2 linked regions of the Anolis sagrei genome follow. The protein of the gene in region 1 interacts with the protein of each later gene in a pairwise test. Links are inferred from orthologs where the notes say so. Each region holds a gene or a part of one and is shown in the gene's direction. Other genes may lie near its edges.

Evidence for each region. The genes of interacting proteins can lie anywhere in the genome.
Region 2: the proteins of CDC25B (region 1) and CDK2 interact in a two-hybrid assay, tested with the Homo sapiens proteins (2 studies listed by BioGRID and IntAct). The link is inferred for Anolis sagrei from reciprocal best matches to the Homo sapiens genes CDC25B and CDK2.

The regions. Positions count from the first base shown.
Region 1 is NC_090025.1:1,198,511-1,209,600, forward strand, and holds the start of CDC25B (M-phase inducer phosphatase 2), read left to right. Parts: upstream 1-6,373; 5' UTR 6,374-6,495; coding exon 6,496-6,590; intron 6,591-11,090. UniProt on the Homo sapiens protein: Tyrosine protein phosphatase which functions as a dosage-dependent inducer of mitotic progression. Directly dephosphorylates CDK1 and stimulates its kinase activity.
Region 2 is NC_090022.1:146,497,408-146,506,161, forward strand, and holds the start of CDK2 (cyclin-dependent kinase 2), read left to right. Parts: upstream 1-4,101; 5' UTR 4,102-4,284; coding exon 4,285-4,400; intron 4,401-6,813; coding exon 6,814-6,891; intron 6,892-8,754. UniProt on the Homo sapiens protein: Serine/threonine-protein kinase involved in the control of the cell cycle; essential for meiosis, but dispensable for mitosis. Phosphorylates CABLES1, CTNNB1, CDK2AP2, ERCC6, NBN, USP37, p53/TP53, NPM1, CDK7, RB1, BRCA2, MYC, NPAT, EZH2.

The DNA.
Region 1 (11,090 bases):
ATGGTGAGCTCCCCTTTTGTTATGGCTCCTTCGCCTATCGGAAGCCAAAGCCCTTTCCATTACACAAATATGCGCAAACATGGGCCAGGCCGGAACCCAGATAACGGCCGCAAGATGATAGAGAAAGCTCCCTTGGGGTCTTATCTGCAGAACAAAAGCCAGTTAGTTAGGTGATTCCTCGTTGGCCAAGTAGGATAGTCTCCCAGGGTAGGTCCATAGGTGGCTGTGGAGCCCTATTCTTGATCTGCATCATCTCCCGCAGTGAGGTCATCGGTTTCCAGGTGGAAGGCGGTCTCAGTCAGAGTTAGCTTGAGGAGCCTTCCTCTCGGCACGTTTCTCTCTTTCACCCTCCATTCGTGCCTCTTCGAATTCTGCAGCACTGCTGGTCACAGCTGTCCTCCAGCTGGAGCGCTCAAGGGCCAGGGCTTCCCAGTTCTCAGTGTCTATGGCAGAGTTTTCAAGGTTGGCTTTGAGCCCATCTTTCAATCTCTTTTCCTGTCCACCAACATTCCGTTTTCCGTTCTTGAGTTCGGAGTAGAGCAACTGCTTTGGGAGATGGTGACCTTTGGCATCCGGACAATGTGGCTGGTCCAACGGAGTTGATGACGGAGGACCATCGCTTCAATGCTGGTGGTCTTTGCTTCTTCTTCCAACACGCTGACATTTGTTGTCTTGTCTTCCCAAGAGATTTGCAGGATTTTCCAGATGCAAAAAGTAATAACCATCACCATCATCATCATAATCGTTAAATATTTTATTATTATTTGAAACACAACAAGATTGGTACACAGCAGACAAGGTCACTCTGCTGGCTGTTGTTGTCGTTGTTGTTATTATTATTATTATTTGAGACACAAAAAGATGAGTCCACAGCAGACAAGATCACTCTGCTGGCTGTTGTATTGGATCCCATGTCGGACCCTTCCCAAGTATCTTGGACTGTGTGATGTATTGGCAAATAATGCGTGCAGATCCCAGTAAGGTGGCCTTTTGCAAATGGCAGATGGTAATCTTGTCAGCGCCAATTGTGTTTAAGTGCAGGCCAAGGTCTTCAGCCACTGCACCTGGTGTGCCGATCACCACTGGGACCCCCTTGACTGTCTTGTGCCAGAGTCTTTGCAGTTCGATCTTTAAATCCTCAATTTATTATTATTATTTATATTAATTTTTTTCATTTAATTTATTTTTTACTTCTTCTTCTTCTTCTTCTTAATACTAATATTACAAAGGCTGGATGGCCACCTGTTGGCAGATGGCAGATGGTAATCTTGTTGGTGCCGATTGTTTTTAAGTGCAGACCAAGGTCTTGAGGCACTGCACCCGGTGTGCCCATCACCACTGGGACCATCTTGACTGGTTTGTGCCAGAGTCTTTGCATTTATTGTTTTATTATTATTTTTATTAATTATTATTGTTATTATTATTTGTAGTAATTATTTTAATTTTATTTTATTATTTTATTTATTTTAAATAGTAATTTTTATTACTATTAATAATAATAATTTTATTAAATATTATTATTAATTATTTTTAATTTTATATTATTGTTATTTTATTTATGTTTTACTTATTATTATTATTATTATACTATTATTATTATTATTATTTATTAAATAGTATTTATTATTATTATTATTGTTACTATTGTTGTTGTTATTATTGATGGGCTAGGGGTCAAAAAAAAAAGCCGGGTTGCAGCTAAACGTCAAAAAAACCAAGATTATGGCAACAAGAATGATTGACAACTGGAAAATAGAGGGAGAAAATGTGGAGGCCGTGACAGACTTTGTATTTCTAGGCGCAAAGATGAGTGTGGACGCAGACTGTGGCCAGGAAATCAGGAGACGCTTCCTTCTTGGGAGGAGAGCAATGTCCAGTCTCGATAAAAGAGTCAAGAGCAGAGACATCAGACTGGCAACCAAGATCCATTGCCTAGTCCAAGCCATGGTCTTCCCTGGAGTCACCTACGGATGTGAGAGCTAGACCTTCGGGAAGGCTGAGCAAAGGAAGAGAGATGCTTTTGAGCTGTGGTGTTGGAGGAAAGTTCTGAGAGTGCCTTGGGCTGCGAGAAGATCCAACCAGTCCATCCTCCAGGAAATAAAGCCCGGCTGCTCACTGGAGGGAAGGAGATGAGAGACAAAGTTGAAGTCCTTTGAATGCCACATCATGAGGAGACAGCAAAGCCTGGAGAAGGGAATGATGCTGGGGAAAGTGGAAGGCAAAAGGAAGAGGGGCCGACCAAGGGCAAGGTGGATGGATGGCATCCTTGAGGTGACTGGACTGACCTTGAAGGAGACCCTGGGGGTGGTGACGGCCGACAGGGAGCTCTGGCGTGGGCTGGTCCAGGAGGTCACCTAGAGAAGACAATGATGCTGGGGAAAGTGGAAGGCAAAAGGAAGAGGGGCCGACCAAGGGCAAGATGGATGGATGGCATCCTTGGAGGGACTGGACTGACCTTGAAGGAGACCCTGGGGGTGGTGACGGCCGACAGGGAGCTCTGGCGTGGGCTGGTCCAGGAGGTCACCTAGAGAAGACAATGATGCTGGGGAAAGTGGAAGGCAAAAGGAAGAGGGGCCGACCAAGGGCAAGGTGGATGGATGGCATCCTTGAAGTGACTGGACTGACCTTGAAGGAGCTGGGGGTGGCCACGGCCGACAGGGAGCTTTGGTGTGGGCTGGTCCAGGAGATCACCTAGAGAAGACAATGATGCTGGGGAAAGTGGAAGGTAAAAGGAAGAGGGGCCGACCAAGGGCAAGGTGGAGGGATGGCATCCTTGAAGTGACTGGACTGACCTTGAAGGAGCTGGGGGTGGTGACAGCCGACAAGGAGCTTTGGCGTGGGCTGGTCCAGGAGGTCACCTAGAGAAGACAATGATGCTGGGGAAAGTGGAAGGCAAAAGGAAGAGGGGCCGACCAAGGGCAAGGTGGATGGATGGCATCCTTGAAGGGACTGGACTGACCTTGAAGGAGTTGGGGGTGGTGACGGCCGACAGGGAGCTTTGGCGTGGGCTGGTCCATGAGGTCACCTAGAGAAGACAATGATGCTGGGGAAAGTGGAAGGCAAAAGGAAGAGGGGCCGACCAAGGGCAAGGTGGATGGATGGCATCCTTGAAGGGACTGGACTGACCTTGAAGGAGTTGGGGGTGGTGACGGCCGACAGGGAGCTTTGGCGTGGGCTGGTCCATGAGGTCACCTAGAGAAGACAATGATGCTGGGGAAAGTGGAAGGCAAAAGGAAGAGGGGCCGACCAAGGGCAAGGTGGAGGGATGGCATCCTTGAAGTGACTGGACTGACCTTGAAGGAGCTGGGGGTGGTGACAGCCGACAAGGAGCTTTGGCGTGGGCTGGTCCAGGAGGTCACCTAGAGAAGACAATGATGCTGGGGAAAGTGGAAGGCAAAAGGAAGAGGGGCCGACCAAGGGCAAGGTGGATGGATGGCATCCTTGAAGGGACTGGACTGACCTTGAAGGAGTTGGGGGTGGTGACGGCCGACAGGGAGCTTTGGCGTGGGCTGGTCCATGAGGTCACCTAGAGAAGACAATGATGCTGGGGAAAGTGGAAGGCAAAAGGAAGAGGGGCCGACCAAGGGCAAGGTGGATGGATGGCATCCTTGAAGGGACTGGACTGACCTTGAAGGAGTTGGGGGTGGTGACGGCCGACAGGGAGCTTTGGCGTGGGCTGGTCCATGAGGTCACCTAGAGAAGACAATGATGCTGGGGAAGGTGGAAGGCAAAAGGAAGAGGGGCTGACCAAGGGCAAGGTGGATGGATGGCATCCTTGAAGGGACTGGACTGACCTTGAAGGAGTTGGGGGTGGTGACGGCCGACAGGGAGCTTTGGCGTGGGCTGGTCCATGAGGTCACCTAGAGAAGACAATGATGCTGGGGAAAGTGGAAGGCAAAAGGAAGAGGGGCCGACCAAGGGCAAGGTGGATGGATGGCATCCTTGAAGGGACTGGACTGACCTTGAAGGAGTTGGGGGTGGTGACGGCCGACAGGGAGCTTTGGCGTGGGCTGGTCCATGAGGTCACCTAGAGAAGACAATGATGCTGGGGAAAGTGGAAGGCAAAAGGAAGAGGGGCCGACCAAGGGCAAGGTGGATGGATGGCATCCTTGAAGGGACTGGACTGACCTTGAAGGAGTTGGGGGTGGTGACGGCCGACAGGGAGCTTTGGCGTGGGGTCACCTAGAGAAGACAATGATGCTGGGGAAGGTGGAAGGCAAAAGGAAGAGGGGCCGACCAAGGGCAAGATGGATGGACGGCATCCTTGAAGTGACTGGACTGACCTTGAAGGAGACACTGGGGGTGGTGACGGCTGACAGTGAGCTCTGGCGTGGGCTGGTCCATGAGGTCACGAAGAGTCGGAGACGACTGAACGAATGAACAACAACAGGGGTCAAAAAGTAAGTGCCTGCCACCGGTGTTTTTGGTTGCGTCTACACCAGGGGCTCTCAAACTATGGCCCGGGGGCCGGATGTGGCCCTCCAAGGTCATTAACCCGGCCCTCGCTCAGGGTCAACCTAAGTCTGAAACGACTTGAAAGCACACAACAACAACAACAACAACCCTATCTCATCAGCCAAAAGCAGGCCCACACTTCCCATTGGAATACTAATAAGTTTATATTTGTTAACATTTTAATTATTGTATTGTTTTTAAGTGTTTTTTACACTACAAATAAGAGACCAGCAGCCGGCAGCCAATCCGCGCGCAGGAAGGAGGGCAGGCACCCGGAAGTCGGGAAGGAAGCAAAGGCAAGCATGAAAGAAGGAAGGAAGGAAGGAGCGGGTTTAAACCGCATCAGCCCTACTGTGTGGACGCTCCCGAAGACAGGGGTGGCAGGCACTTACTTTTTCACACCTAGCCCCTCACTTATAAGAACAACCACAATAGCAATAACAATAATAAAAAATAAAGTTATTATTATTATTGTTTTGTTTTTCAAATTATAATCCGGCCCTCCAACAGTTTGAGGGACTGTGACCTGGCCCTCTGCTTAAAAAGTTTGAGGACCCCTGGTCTACACAGTAGAGCTGATGGGAGTGATCCTGGACTCATCGCTGAGCCTGGAACCCCAGGTCTCAGCGGTGGCCGGGAGAGCTTTCGCACAATTAAAACTTGTGCGCCAGCTGCGCCCGTACCTTGAGAAGCCAGATCTGGCCACGGTGGTCCACGCTCTTGTCACATCCCGGTTGGATTACTGCAATGCACTCTACGTGGGGTTGCCTTTGAAGACTGCTCGGAAACTATTATTTTATTTATTTATTTGCTGCATTTGTTAACTGCCGCTCTCAGCCCTAGGGCGACTCGCGGCGGTGTACAACATATAAAAAACACATTTTACAATAACTACAACGACAAAAAAAACAACATATCACTAATACACTATCATCTAATTACACTAAAATAATCCGCTTCGTCTTATCATAGAATCATAACCAATCTCGTAGTCTATACAATTAGTCCAGCGAGAAGCAGCCAGATTGCTCACTGGAGCGGCGTACAGGGAGCACACCACCCCCCTGCTACATCAGCTCCACTGGCTGCCGATCCAATTCCGAGCACAATTCAAAGTGCTGGTTTTAACCTACAAAACCCTATACGGTTCCGGCCCAGTGTATCTGTCCGAACGGATCTCCATCTACATCCCACCTCGGAGTCTAAGATCTTCTGGGGAGGCCCTGCTCTCGACCCCGCCTCTATCTCAAGCGAGGCTGGCGGGGACGAGGAGCAGGGCCTTCTCGGTGGTGGCCCCTCACCTGTGGAACTCACTCCCCGGGGAGATCAGATCAGCGACCTCCCTTCTGTCGTTCAGAAAAAAACTGAAGGCCTGGATCTGGGACCAAGCTTTTGGACATTCTGGCAGCTAAAATAAGGACTCATTGATGAGCAGGAATTGTTGGAATGAATGGACATTTCGGAACTCTGAATCTCACTGTGCATGAAATTGTTTTTATTATATTATGTAGTGATGTGTTTTAATGCTGCTAAATGTTTATACTGTTTTATATATGCTGTATATTTTGACAGGCATCGAATTTGGGCCTTTGTTTGTAAGCCGCCCTGAGTCCCCCCTCGGGGGTGAGAAGGGCGGGGTAGAAGTAACTGCAATACATAAATAAATAATAATAAATGATGCGGTTTAAACCCGCTCCTTCCTTCTTTCCTTTCTGCTTGCCTTTCCTTCCTCCCTGACTTCCGGGTGCCTGCCCTCCTTCCTGCGCGCGGATTGGCTGCCGCCTGCTGCTCTCTTTGGCGCTGTTATTTTTCGAATATCAATAGAGGGGGCGTGTCGGGGGCGTGGCTTGGGCTGAGGCCCCGCCCCTTGGGTATAAAAGCGGGTCCTCCTTCCCGCGCTGGCTCCATTCGGCCTGGACTTCCTGAGGAGTCGGTGGGACTGCTGCCGCTGCCGCCTTCCTACTCCTGGCCTGTGTGTTGTATAGGAAGGAAGGCAGGCAGGCAGGCAGGCAGGCAAGGCAAGGCAAGGCGAGAGAAAGCATGGATCCCCGCCGGCCCACCAGCAGCTTGGGTTGGGGCCTCTCCCCGGTGGCCAGCCTGGCCCTCAACATGGACAGACTGGCCGGCCTAGGAAGGTCAGTCTCTCTATTTACATATCTAGATATCTATCTATATCCATCTCTGTATTTCCCTCTGTGTGTGTCTCTCTCTCTCTAAATATCTATTAATCTCTGTTTAAATATCTCTCTCTATATCTCTGTAGATATATATCTTTCTGTAGAAATACCTCTAAATATCAATTTCTCTCTATATTGAATATATCTCTGTCTCTATAAATATATCTCTCTCTTTAAATATCTATTTCTCTATATCTCTATCAATCTCTCAATAAAAATAAATCTAACTATAAATATCTCTCTGTGCCTCTCTCTATATCTATTAATCTCTCAATAGATAGACATCTAATTATAAATAGATATCTCTCTGTATTCCTCTCTCTCTGTTAAATATCTCTCTGCTTAAATATATCTCTATATATCTATAAATATATCTCTATATATTTATATATCTATATCCATCTCTGTATTTCTCTCTCCCCCCTTCTCTCTCTCTATATGTAAATATATATTTCTCTCTGTTTAAATATATCTCTCTATATCTATAAATATATCTCTTTATCTCTGTAGATATTTATCTTTCTGTAGAAATACCTCTAAATATCAATTTCTCTCTCTGTTAAATATTTCTCTGTCTCTATCTATCTATCTCTCAATAAAAATCTAACTATAAATATCTCTCTGTGCATCTCTCTATATATTTAAATATATCTACCTATCTATAAATAAATACCTATTTCTCTATATATATCTCTATCAATCTCTCAATAAAAATAAATCTAACTATAAATATCTCTCTGTGCCTCTCTCTATATCTATTAATCTCTCAATAGATAGACATCTAATTATAAATATATATCTCTCTGTATTTCTCTCTCTAATATCTATTTATCTATATTTAAATATCTATATCTATTAAATATCTCTGTTTAAATATCTCTATATATCTATAAATATATCTCTGTAAATATATCTCTGTAAATATATCTCTGTCTATAAATATATCTCTCCATAAATATATATTTATTTCTCTCTATATATTTATATATCTATATCCATCTCTGTATTTATCTCCCTCTCTCTCCATATGTAAATATATCTTTCTCTCTGTTTAAATATCTCTAAATATCTATAAATATATCTCTTTATCTCTGTATGTGTGTGTGTGTGTATATATATATATATATCTTTCTGTAGAAATTTCTGTATATATCAATTTATATATATATCTGTTAAATATATCTCTATAAATATATATCTCTCTTTAAATATCTATTTCTCTATATATCCGTCAATCTCTCAATAAAAATAAAAATAAATCTAACTATAAATATATCTCTGTGCCTCTCTCTCTATTAATCTCTCAATAGATAGACATCTAATTATAAATATATATAAATATATATAAATAAATATATATATATATATATCTGTATTTCTCTCTCTCTAAATATCTCTTTATCTATATTTAAATATCTCTATATCTCTCTATTTATATATCTATATATCCATCTCTGCATTTCTCTCTCTCCATATGTAAATATATATTTCTCTCTGTTTAAATATCTCTCTATATCTATAAATATATCTCTCTCTATCTCTGTATATATCTCTCTTTCTGTAGAAATACCTCTAAATATCAATTTCTCTCTCTATATATATCTGTTAAATATATCTGTCTCTATAAGTATATATATCTCTCTCTTTAAATAGCTATTTCTCTATATATCTATCAATCTCTCAATAAAAATAAATCTAACTATAAATATATCTCTGTGCATCTCTATAAATATATATATTTAAATATATATATATATCTGCCTATCTATAACTAAATATCTATCTCTCTATATATATCTATTAATCTCTCAATAAATATATATCTAACTATAAATATCTCTCTCCGCATTTATCTCTCTGTGCATCTCTATATATATTTAAATATATCTATATATTTACCTATAAATAAATACCTATTTCTCTATATATCTATCAATCTCTCAATAAAAATAGATCTAACTAAATATATCTCTGTGCCTCTCTCTATATATATTCATTTCTCAATAGATAGACATCTAATTATAAATAGATATATCTCTGTATTTCTCACTCTCTCTGTCTCTGTAAATACATATTTATATTTAAATATCTCTATATCTATCTATAAATATATCTCTTCATCTCTAGAAATATCTCTATATATCAATCCCTCTCTATATACATATCGCTTAAATCTCTCTGTCTCTCTCTCTAGATATCTATCTATATATCCATCTCTGTATTTCTCTCTCTAAATATCTATTTATCTATATTTAAATATCTCTATATATCTATAAATATATCTCTTTCTCTCTCTCTCTCTCTCTGTGTATATATCTTTCTGTACAAATACCTCTATATATCAATTTCTTTCTCTATATATATATCTGTTAAATCTGTCTCTATAAATATATATATATATTTCTATATATCTATTAATCTCTCAATAGATATACATCTAACTATAAATATATATATATATATCTGTATTTCTCACTCTCTATGTCTCTTTGTGTCTCTAAATCTATATTTATCTATATTTAAATATCTCTCTCTATATAAATAAATAAATAAATATATCTTTATCTCTGTAAATATATCTTCTGTATAAAAATCTATATATATATATCAATCTCTATATATCTCAATATACCTCTCTATAATCTATAGATTATATCTATTAACCTCTCAATAAATATATATCTAACTATAAATATATGTATCTATATTTCTCTATCTCTCTGGGTCTCTCTATAAATACATATCTATATTTATATCTATATCTCTTTCAATATATGTCTGTAAATATATCTTTCTGTATAAATATCTCTTTATATAAATATATCTTTCTATAAATATCTATTTCTCTTAATGTCTATTAATCTCTCAATAAATATATATCTTAACTATATATATATCTGTATTTCTCTATCTCTCTATGGCTCTCTCTCTATATATCTACATTTAAATATATATCTCTCTTCCTATATATATATATATATGTAAATATATCTTTCTCTCTCTATAAATATATCTCTATAAATATTTATTTCTCTATATGTCTATTAATCTCTCTCTCTATATAAAACTATATATATATATATATCGCTATATATATCTACATTTACATATATCTATATATCTCCATATATATATATATATATATATATATATATATATATATCTTTCTGTATAAATATCTCTCTATAAATATCTCTCTATAAATATATATATCTTAAATATATCTCTGCTTCTCTCTCTCTCTCTATATATATATATCTGTATTTCTCTATAAATCTCTCTCTATATAAATATAAATATATCTATCCCTCTATAAATACCTTTCTATATTGCTCTCTTTTTCGTTATATAGCTATAAAATCTGTATCACTATAAATATATTTATCTCTGACTATGTATATCTACTTTTATTTCAGTCTCTCTCTATATAAATATATCTCTATAAATATATATATCTGTATCAATAGTTGTGTGAGTGGGGTGCTGGGAGGGGGGGCTCCCCTGTTTTGCAGGCCTCAACGGGGGCCACTCCAAGAGACCCCTTGCCCCCCCCCAAAGGAGTATTATGACTAATAATAACAATAAATATATTGGTATCATTCATATTAATCCTAATAGTATGTTAATAACAACAATAATGATTATATATTTCTGTCAATATACTGTTGTTATTAATGTTAATAGGTTAGTGGTGTTATTGTTTGGCCTTGTTCTGACTCCATTTGTCTTCCGTGGTCATCCGTGTCCTTTCCCCAATTCTCTGTCTCCTCAAACACGTGGGGAAAGTGGCCCAAGCTTTGCTTTTGCAGGAGGGACCTCGCTCACCCATCGCAAGCACATTTGGCCCTCGTTTTGCAATGAGTCTCCTTCACTTCCTTCCTTCCTTCCACGTGTTCCTCTAACCCAGGATGTCGAGTCAGGTCATCCCACGAGATCTGCTTGGAACTGGGTGACCGGAGGCCCCTTCCACACCGCTGGACAAAATCCCACGTTGCCTGCTTGGAACTGGATTCTGTGGCAGTGTGGACTCAGATGACCCAGTGCAAAGCAGATCTGGTGGGAATTTCGGGTGAAGATCCCCCACCAAAACTGTGTGCAACTTTTAAGTAATTGCAGGCTGATTGGAAGGCCAAGGGAAGGCATGCATGTCGAGGAAGGAAGGAAGGTTGCAAGGGTATTATCAGTCACAAAGGGCATCTTGAAGCAATATATATATATATTCTAGCCGTCCCCTGCCACACATTGTTGTGGCCTAGTCTGTGTATATGTGTATTGTGTGTATATATATATGCATAGAATCATAGAATCATGGAATCCAAGAGTTGGAAGAGACCTCCTGGGCTATCCAGTCCAACCCCATTCTGCCAAGAAGCAGGAATATTGCATTCAAATCGCCCCTGACAGAGGGCCATCCAGCCTCTGCTTAAAAAGCTTCCAAAGAAGGAGCCTCCACCACAC
Region 2 (8,754 bases), on another chromosome or scaffold:
AGAGATGGAGAAAACTCCTATTCAACTGTTCTTCCCGACACTTTTCTCAGTATGCTTTTTACTGGTCAGATAGCCATGTATAAATACGTGAAGGGACGTCATAGGGAGGAGGAAGCAGGCTTATTTTCTGCTTCCCTGGAGACTAGGACATGGAACAATGGCTTCAAACTATGAGAAAAGAGATTCCATCTGAACATTAGGTAGAACTTCCTGACTATGAGAGCTGTTCAGCAGTGGAACTCTCTGCCCTGGAGTGTGATGGAGCCTCCTCCTTCGGAGGCTTTAAAACAGAGGCTGGGTGGTCATCTATCGGGGGTGCTTTGAATGTGATTTTCCTGCTTCTTAGCAGGGCATTGGACTGGATGGCCCACGAGGTCTCTTCCAATTCTATGATTCTATTCTAGAGTGGGTGTTGCAATGTGAATTCCATGTTTTCTAATTTTATCCTCTGATTGTGATTTGCAGATGGCTAGAAAGGTCACATTCCAACGGTTTTTCCAAAAAGTCATTTATTGCAACAGCTACCGTAACACACTTTTTCTAAAAAGTCGGCGGCTTTTTGCTTCGGTCCAATTAAAAGATGTGAAATTGACAGCTGCGGTTGGCTAAGAAGAAGTGGGTGCTTTATTCCCATCTGGCTGTGAACATTTATGGGTGCAAACCAACAATATGCCAACAGTAATGCTTCATCTGATGACATGGACATTAGTTCCTGAAATTTAAAACCATAAAATATCTGTATCCAGAACTAACTCTCAAAAGCGTAAATGAGGCGTCCCCCATGAATAAGCTTCCGTAAGATATAATTCATGATTTTTAATGGGAAAATCTTCTGATTTTTTTTAAAAAAATATTAGTGACAGGTTTTTCAGCATGGTCAGTGGGGTTTACTCCCTTGAAGAAGTTGTATCTTTCAGGTGCCAATAGATATTGGTATTTTTATTGATTTGCTGTAAGAGATTTTACACTTTTCAGTTAGAGTGTGATGCCTTAATGGAATTAACGGAAGAACCATTTATCTCCCAGGCTTCCCACATGGGTTTTCTCTAATGTTAGTCACTTATGTTGTACATTTTGATCACATGTAATGTTCAGGGAGCAAAGGGATCCTGATGCACCTTAGAGAACGAGAGAAAAAAAGTTGTAGCACAAACCTTTGGGTGCATCTACACTGTAGAAGTAATGCTGTCTGATCCCACTTAGAATCATAGAATCAAAGAGTTGGAAGAGACCTCATGGGCCATCCAGTCCAACCCCATTCTGCCAAGAAGCAGGAATGTTGCATTCAAATCACCCCTGACAGATGGCTTGAACTGCTATGGCTCAATACTGTGGAATCCTGGGAGTTGGAGTTTGGCACTCTTTGGCAGAGAAGGCAAAATACCATGTAAAACTATAGATCCCAGTATTTCATAGCAATGGGCTATGGCAGTGTCTTGTATAAAACAATATGTTAAATATAAAACATTGCAAAGCCACATTTTTCAGTATTTATTTATTTATTTACCACATTTATATGCCGCCCTTCTCATCCCGAAGGGTAATGAGTTGTACCCCAATAGCAACCAATCACAGCTCAGCTTTCATTTCTTTTTTTTAATCCAGTTTTATTAAATTTTACAAATGCTTCAAAAAAAGGAAAGATTTCTTAAACTACTGAGGTGAAATGTCATCTGTTCTGTGATTGGTTGGTTTTTTCCTACACTGCTGAGGTAAAAGGAAAGGTGTGCAGTGATTGGTTATGCCATCTACCTGATCTGTGATAGGTTATTTCTTAAACTGATGAGGTAAAAGGACAGCTAGTTTTACTGTTAAAACACATGTGTATTTTTGAATGCAACCGTTGTAATAATTTCATTTTACTATTAAAACACACGTGTATTGGATAGTAACTCTGTTTTAAAATTTCAAGTCATTCGGGCGTCTACTTTTCAAGTTTTGCATGCACAAACATACACGCTGATATTTTATAAAGATACTAGCTGTCCCCTGCCACACATTGCTGTGGCCCAGTCTGTGTATATGTGTTTTGTGTGTGTATATATTTGTGTATATGTGTATATATGTGTGTTTGTGTGTATATATATATATGTGTGTGTGATTTTGTGCATGTTTTGTAATGCATTTTTATTTTTTTGCTTTTTAAGTCTCTTCTGCTGTCTTTTTTCAGTGTTTTTATGAGTGATGGTCACTCATTGGCCTGATAGGTGTATTGTGTCCCCATTAGATGTCAATTCACCCAGTGGTTTTTGTTTTCTTTCCTCTTTCTCTCCTTTCTTCCTTCTCTACCTTTCCTTCCTTCCTTAACTCTTTGCTTCTATCCTTCCTTCTCTCTTCCCTTCGTTCCTTCCCTCCTTCTTTTTATGCTTCTTTCCCTCCTTCCTTCGCTTCCTCTTTCTTTCCTTTTCTCTGTCCTTTTCTCCTTCCTTCCTTCTCTACCTCTTTCTTTCCTTTTCCTTCCTTTCTCTCCTTTTCCTTCCTCTTTCTCTCCTTTCTTCCTTCTCTACCTCTTTCCTTCCTTTGCTTTTAACTTCCTTCCTTCTCTCTTTCCTTCTTTCCCTTTTTCTGCTTCCTTCCTTCCTTCCTTCCCTCTTTCCTTCCTTTCCTTTTTTCTGTCCTTCTCACATTCCTTCTCTACCTTTCTTTCCTTACCCCTTTTTCTTTTCCTTTCTCTTTCTCCCCTTTCTTCCATCTCTACTTCTTTCCTTCCTTCCTGCGCTCTTTGCTTCCATGCTTCCTTCTCTCTTTCCTTCTCTTTCCCTCCCTCTTTTCCCCCTTACTTTTTCCTTTCTTCTTTCCTTTCTCTCTCCCCTTCCTTCCCTCCCTTTTTTTCTGTATCGTCATTTAGCTTTTCATTATTTAGTTTTTTAGGGTTTTAAAGTCTTTTCCACTGTTTTTTTTTGGGGGGGAGGGGGCGGTTATGAGTGATGGTCACTCGTTGGTTTGTTAGGGGTATAGTGTCCAAAGTTCGTGTCAATTCGTCCAGTGGTTTTTGTGTTATGTTAATCCCACAAATGAACATTAGCTGTCCCCTGCCACACGTTGCTGTGGCCCAGTTGGTGCATATGTGCTTTGTGTGTGTGTATATTTGTGTATATGTGTATATACTAGGGCTGGGCGGTTTCGTTCGTTAATTTCGTAATTCGTTATTGATTCGTATTTAAATTAGCTTACGATCCGATATTGAGCCATGCAGGAGCAACTAAAAATTGAAATGAATTTTTCAATTTATTTCGTAATTGGTTCAAAATCGTTTTGAAATTGTTTCATTATTATTTCCATATGTCTGGTGCAAGTTTTAGGGATGTTGTTTGTTTTATCAGTGATAAAAAATAAATTATCACACCAACAGTCAACAACAGAGGGAGAGGGAAGCTTCAGAAGTTCTCCCTGTCCCATTTGGAGGGTTTTTTTTTTTTGCATGTTGCGCAATTGCGTCCGCCATTAACGAATCGATTCGTAATTGTTTCGTAATTGACGAAATGTTGTATATTTTGAACTTTTTTAAAGAAAAATTTCGGAATTCTTTTAAAAAACGAAACGCAAAAACCCCCTAAAAACGAATCGAGTTTAGAAACAAATTTTTCCGTGGTTACCCAGCCCTAGTATATACGTGTTTGTGTGTGTGGATGTATATATGTGTGTGTGTGGTTTTGCGCATGCGTTATAATGAATTTTTAATTTTTTTGCTTTCTAAGTCTCTTCTGCTGTGTTTTTCAGTGTTATTATGAGTGATGGTCACTCGTTGGCATGATAGGTGTCTTGCGTCCAAATTTGGTGTCAATTCGTCCAGTGGGTTTTGAGTTATGTTAATCCCACAAACAAACATTACATTTTTATTTATATTGAAGATATACACACCCGCACACACTGATTTGCAGGCTAAATACCAGAAACTCTGCTACCCTAACCTTCTCCCCGGTCCCCTTTGAGCCAGATTTCCCGCCTTCTTCCTTCCCTTTTTCCTTCTCTGTCTCTTCTTCCCGCCCCTCACAAACCTGCTACGTCACAGGCACCGAAGCCAATAGGACGTGAGGAGGGGCGGGGCTAGGAGAACGCGGGAAGTCGCGTGGCGGGAGGGAGGGAAGGGGCCGGGCCTTGTGAAGCTTTGGCAATTGTCCCGCCCCTTCCGAGTGGAGGAGCCTGGCGCGCGGGAAAAGAAAGCGCGCGGAAAGAAGGGAGAGAGGGAGGAAGCCGGAAAGCAAGGGCCGGCGAGGAAGCCACTCTGCGGAGAAAGCCGCCCCCCCTCCCCCGCCACCCTGGGATCCTCCCCGAGCGCCGCCCATGGAGAACTTCCAGAAAGTGGAGAAGATCGGCGAGGGCACCTACGGGGTGGTCTACAAGGCGAAGAACAAAATCACGGGCGAAGTGGTGGCCCTGAAGAAGATCCGCCTGGACACGTGAGTGCGCAGGCACACGTGCACGCCGTGGGCGCGGTCCTTCGAGGGCAGGCTTGCTCCGGAGTCTGTTGGGGAGGGGCTTGAGGAGGCTTCCCCGCCTTTGGCCTGGGCCAAGAGTCCCAGGAAGGGCGTGGAACAGTGGCTCTCAACCTGTGGGTCCCCGGAAACTCCCAGAATTCCCAGCCAGTTTACCAGCTGTTAGGATTTCTGGAAGTTGAAGGCCAAAACATCTGGGGACCCACAGGTTGAGAACCATTGGCGTAAAAGTCGTAGGCTGTTAGGAATTGTGGGAGTTGTAGTCCAAAACACCTGAAGGGCCGGAGTTGCCCCATGCCTGGTGTAGATGCACCCTGGGTTACCTCAGTAGACTTAAGTTGGCAAGACTGTTTTGATTATGTAGGCAGCTGATGGGTGAGAGAAAGTGGTATCTATGATATAGAAGTTTGATACCGTTTGGGCTCCCTTATCTGGAATTCCAAAACACCCCAAAGTTGTCCCCAAGGGAGTGGCTGAAGTGGCAACACCTTTGCTTTCTGATAGTTCATTGTACACAAACTTTGGTTCCATAAACAAAATTACTAAAATATTGTGTACAACAGTGTTTCTCAACCAGTGGGTCCCCAGATGTTTTGGCCTTCAACTCCCAGAAATCCTCACAGCTGGTAAACTGGCTGGGATCTCTGGGAGTTATAGGCCAAAACACTTGGGGACCCACAAGTTGAGGACCACTGGTGTACAAGGTTAGTGTCAGATTGTGTGTACAATCACGTGTATGAATGTAGTGTGTAGATTTGGATCAATCTTCCAAGTTATCTCCTTTGCTGTGTGTATACAAATAAAGGTATTCCAAAATCTAAAACACATCTTGTTCTGGGCATTTCGGAAAAGGGACGCTCAGCTTTGGACTGTGTTAGCTGTCATGTTGCCACCTTACAAAGTTCTGGTCTTGGGTGAGGTATCTTTGGGATTTGGATTTAGTTGAATATTCCCTCACATTTGTTTGTCTTCAACTAAGTTTCAGTCATGGACCGAAGATGACTCTATTGTGGGGTTTTCTTGGCAAGATTTGTTCAGAGGGGGTTTGCTGTTGTCTTCCTCTGAGACTGAGCGCCCTTCCACACAGCCACATAACCCACAATATCAAGGCAAAAAAATCCCACAATGTCTGCTTTGAACTGGGTAATCTGAGTCCACACTGACATATAATCTAGGTCAAAGCCTCAGGGGAGGCCAGGGGACAGCATCACCTTGTCTCCTGTATATGCCATCAGCTGGAGACCCCCCCCCCCCAGCACAACTGCTGCTCTGGGCCAGAGTGAAAGAGGGGGGGAGGGGACAGTTCCACTTTGTCTCCTGTGCTATTCTAATAATATAATAAAATATATTGTATATACATATAATAATTATAATATTATAATGTAATGCAATATAATACCACTAATAATAATATGATATTATGATTATATATTTATATTACTAATAATATTACAATATAATTGGTATAGTACAATATAGCAATATTTAAAACTGATATTGTACTATGCTAATAATATAATATATTGTAGGTATATATACCTTGTAAGCCGCTCTGATTCCCCTTCAGGGTGAGAAGGGCAGCATATAAATGTCCTAAATAAATAAATAAAGCAGCTAATGTGGGCATTTATTTAACTGTAGGGCTGTGCCTTGCCCAGTGGGTTTCTATCAGGGCTGAGCAGGAGTTTGAAGCCTGGTCTCAAACCAGAACTAGCGGAGATAATTGTAAACACCTCCTTACTATACAAATCCCAGGTTTCCATAGAATGGGCCACAGCATGTTGAAAGGAGGACTGTAATTGCTATCAAAGGTAGAAATATAAATATATTTTTGACCTCCATTGCAGGAATGGCAGGCAGTGCTGGAGAAAAGGAATTTTCTTTGTTGCTTGGGTTTCATAGGGTAGCTAGTGACTGAATTGCTTTTGGAGTGAGAACCTATGTAAAGGAAAACACAATCATGGCTTGCACCAAACTTGATCTGTGGGATCTGAATTTCCATACCTTTCAACAAGTTGGGATACTTCTTGCCTCTGCTTGGAGCTGCTTTAGTTGTGCAAAGTGATTTTTCTTGAGTGAGCATAAGCCAGTTATTGCATCTCAAGCTGAATATACTTGAGTCATTTGCTTTACAAGGTGCTTCGTTTGGTGCTGCTGCTGCTGGTGGAATAATTGTGTTTTTGGAAAAAAATGTGGCTTGTTCTTTTAGAAAGAGTTTTCCAGTTGTTAACAATATGTATGTATGGTGTTTTTTTTTTTTGTTCAGTCATACTATGTGATAATTTAAGGATAGACGACCTGGAGCAAAACCATATGTCATTCAGCCCTGTAGTTCCATCCCCTCCCTTCTCACCTTGTCTTTCCTGTTTGCTTCCAGGGAAACGGAGGGAGTCCCAAGCACAGCCATCCGGGAAATCTCACTGCTAAAGGAACTGAACCATCCCAACATTGTCAAGTAGGTGCTTGAACTAAAACTGGGAAAGAGGGACTTGTGTTAGGAATCCCATCTGTGGGGTGGTGGGAGAGCTCTGCTATATTTGTCAAGGAAACAATTGAAGTTGAAAGATGAGTAATGTTTGGTGCTTTAAACACTTCGAGCTTCACCTCACAAAATTCACACTAGCAAGGCCAATTTTAAGAATCGTTTTTGTTTATTTTGTGTCACAAGCATTGCATAAATAAGTATAAAATTGATAAAAATAGAGGGAATAGAAGTGGTGAAATATTCTTTGACCAAAAACGGGCAACAGCGATCACATTGTAGCTTTAAACATTTTTTCCTCTATACATGAGGCAGGATACTGTGGACAGTCATGCATATGGGGAGTTGTTTCTTCTGCCACACAGTTGCACAAGGTGGAGGATTCTTTTAGATAGTGGCATTTTTCCAGGTTGTCTTTTGATTTTCCCATTCTATTTTTGAGTGTGTTCAGGGACTTCCAAGTTGCCCATTCTTGGTTTGCCCTTGGAGGAAGACCCTCGCGGGGGGGCCATCCATTTGGGGTTTTCTGGTTTAGCTGCCCAGAGGGATACTCTTGCTGTTGCTGGGAGAACATTAAGAGGAGTGGTGATTCTCATAAAGCTTTTCCTTGATTTGCGTCTACTGGGAGGAGGCTGGTAGCCATGCAGTGGGTGGCTTTCACAGTGTTCAACCTTATGTCTCTCTCAGTTAGCAGCAACTTCCTGGATTTGAGACGGGGGGGGGGGGGAATATATTCTACAAGCTACCTTGTAGGATATATCAACACGTCCAGCTTTAAGACAGCCTGTGATTAGTCTACATGTTTTGTTCAGTGCTATATTCACCTGCTTCGTGTGGGCAGATTTGTGCCAGACGGAGCAAGCATACTTGGCAGTTGAGTAAGACAAGGCCAGGGCTGATGTTCTCATTAATTTTGGATCTGCTCCCCATGTGGTGCCAGTAAGTTTCCTCAGGATGTTATTGCATGCAGTTACTTTGTGCTTGGTGTTCATACAATGTTTCCTAAATGTTAGTGTTGGATCTAAGGTGACACTAAGATATTTAGGATGGAAACAGTGTTCACATTCTTGACCTTCCCAGGTAACTTTCAATTTCCTTCAGTTACGTATGTGGAAAGCACACACTTGTGTCTTGGCAGGGTTAGGCTTCAGGTGTATATCTTTGCAGTAGCTGGTGAGATCTTTCAAGGCACTAGTAAATTGGTTTTTGAATGTTTCAAACCCAAAAGCATTGCTTTTAAACATTGTAACAAATGATGGGAGCTGTAGACTGAAACATTTGGAAGGCAAAAAGTTCCCAACCTAATGTAAGCAAGGCCATGGGATATGGCAGTCTAATGGCTTTTCATCTACAACAGTGCTTCTTAAAATGTTGGTCCCCTTAGCTCAGTGTTGATGTCCTGAAAAATTTGGCAACAATGAAAGTTTTCTGACCACCACTCATTTACACAAATATGTTAGTAACAATGCAGTGTTTATAATGGACTCTGGAGAAGATGCTTCAGCTGTACTCCCCAAAAAGGAAAATCAGCCTGTTTAGCAAGCCTTGTAAATGCTTACATATTATCAGTAAATGTTTGATTTGTATAACTATTTTATATACCCATATACCCTTTTTGTGTAAATATTTCTTGGGTGCAAAAGAGGTTACAATTTTTTTCTTGGGAAGAAAGGAGTTAAGAAAAAGTTAAGAAGGGCTGCCTTACAAGACCTGTCAAGCACTGGAGCTTTCAGAGAAGAATGTGTTTAAAACCATAAGGAGATGAAGGAAGGCTATTTAATGGGTGTAATACTAAAAATCGAGGTGTAATGGCTTCCTGATTATTTTGATTTTATC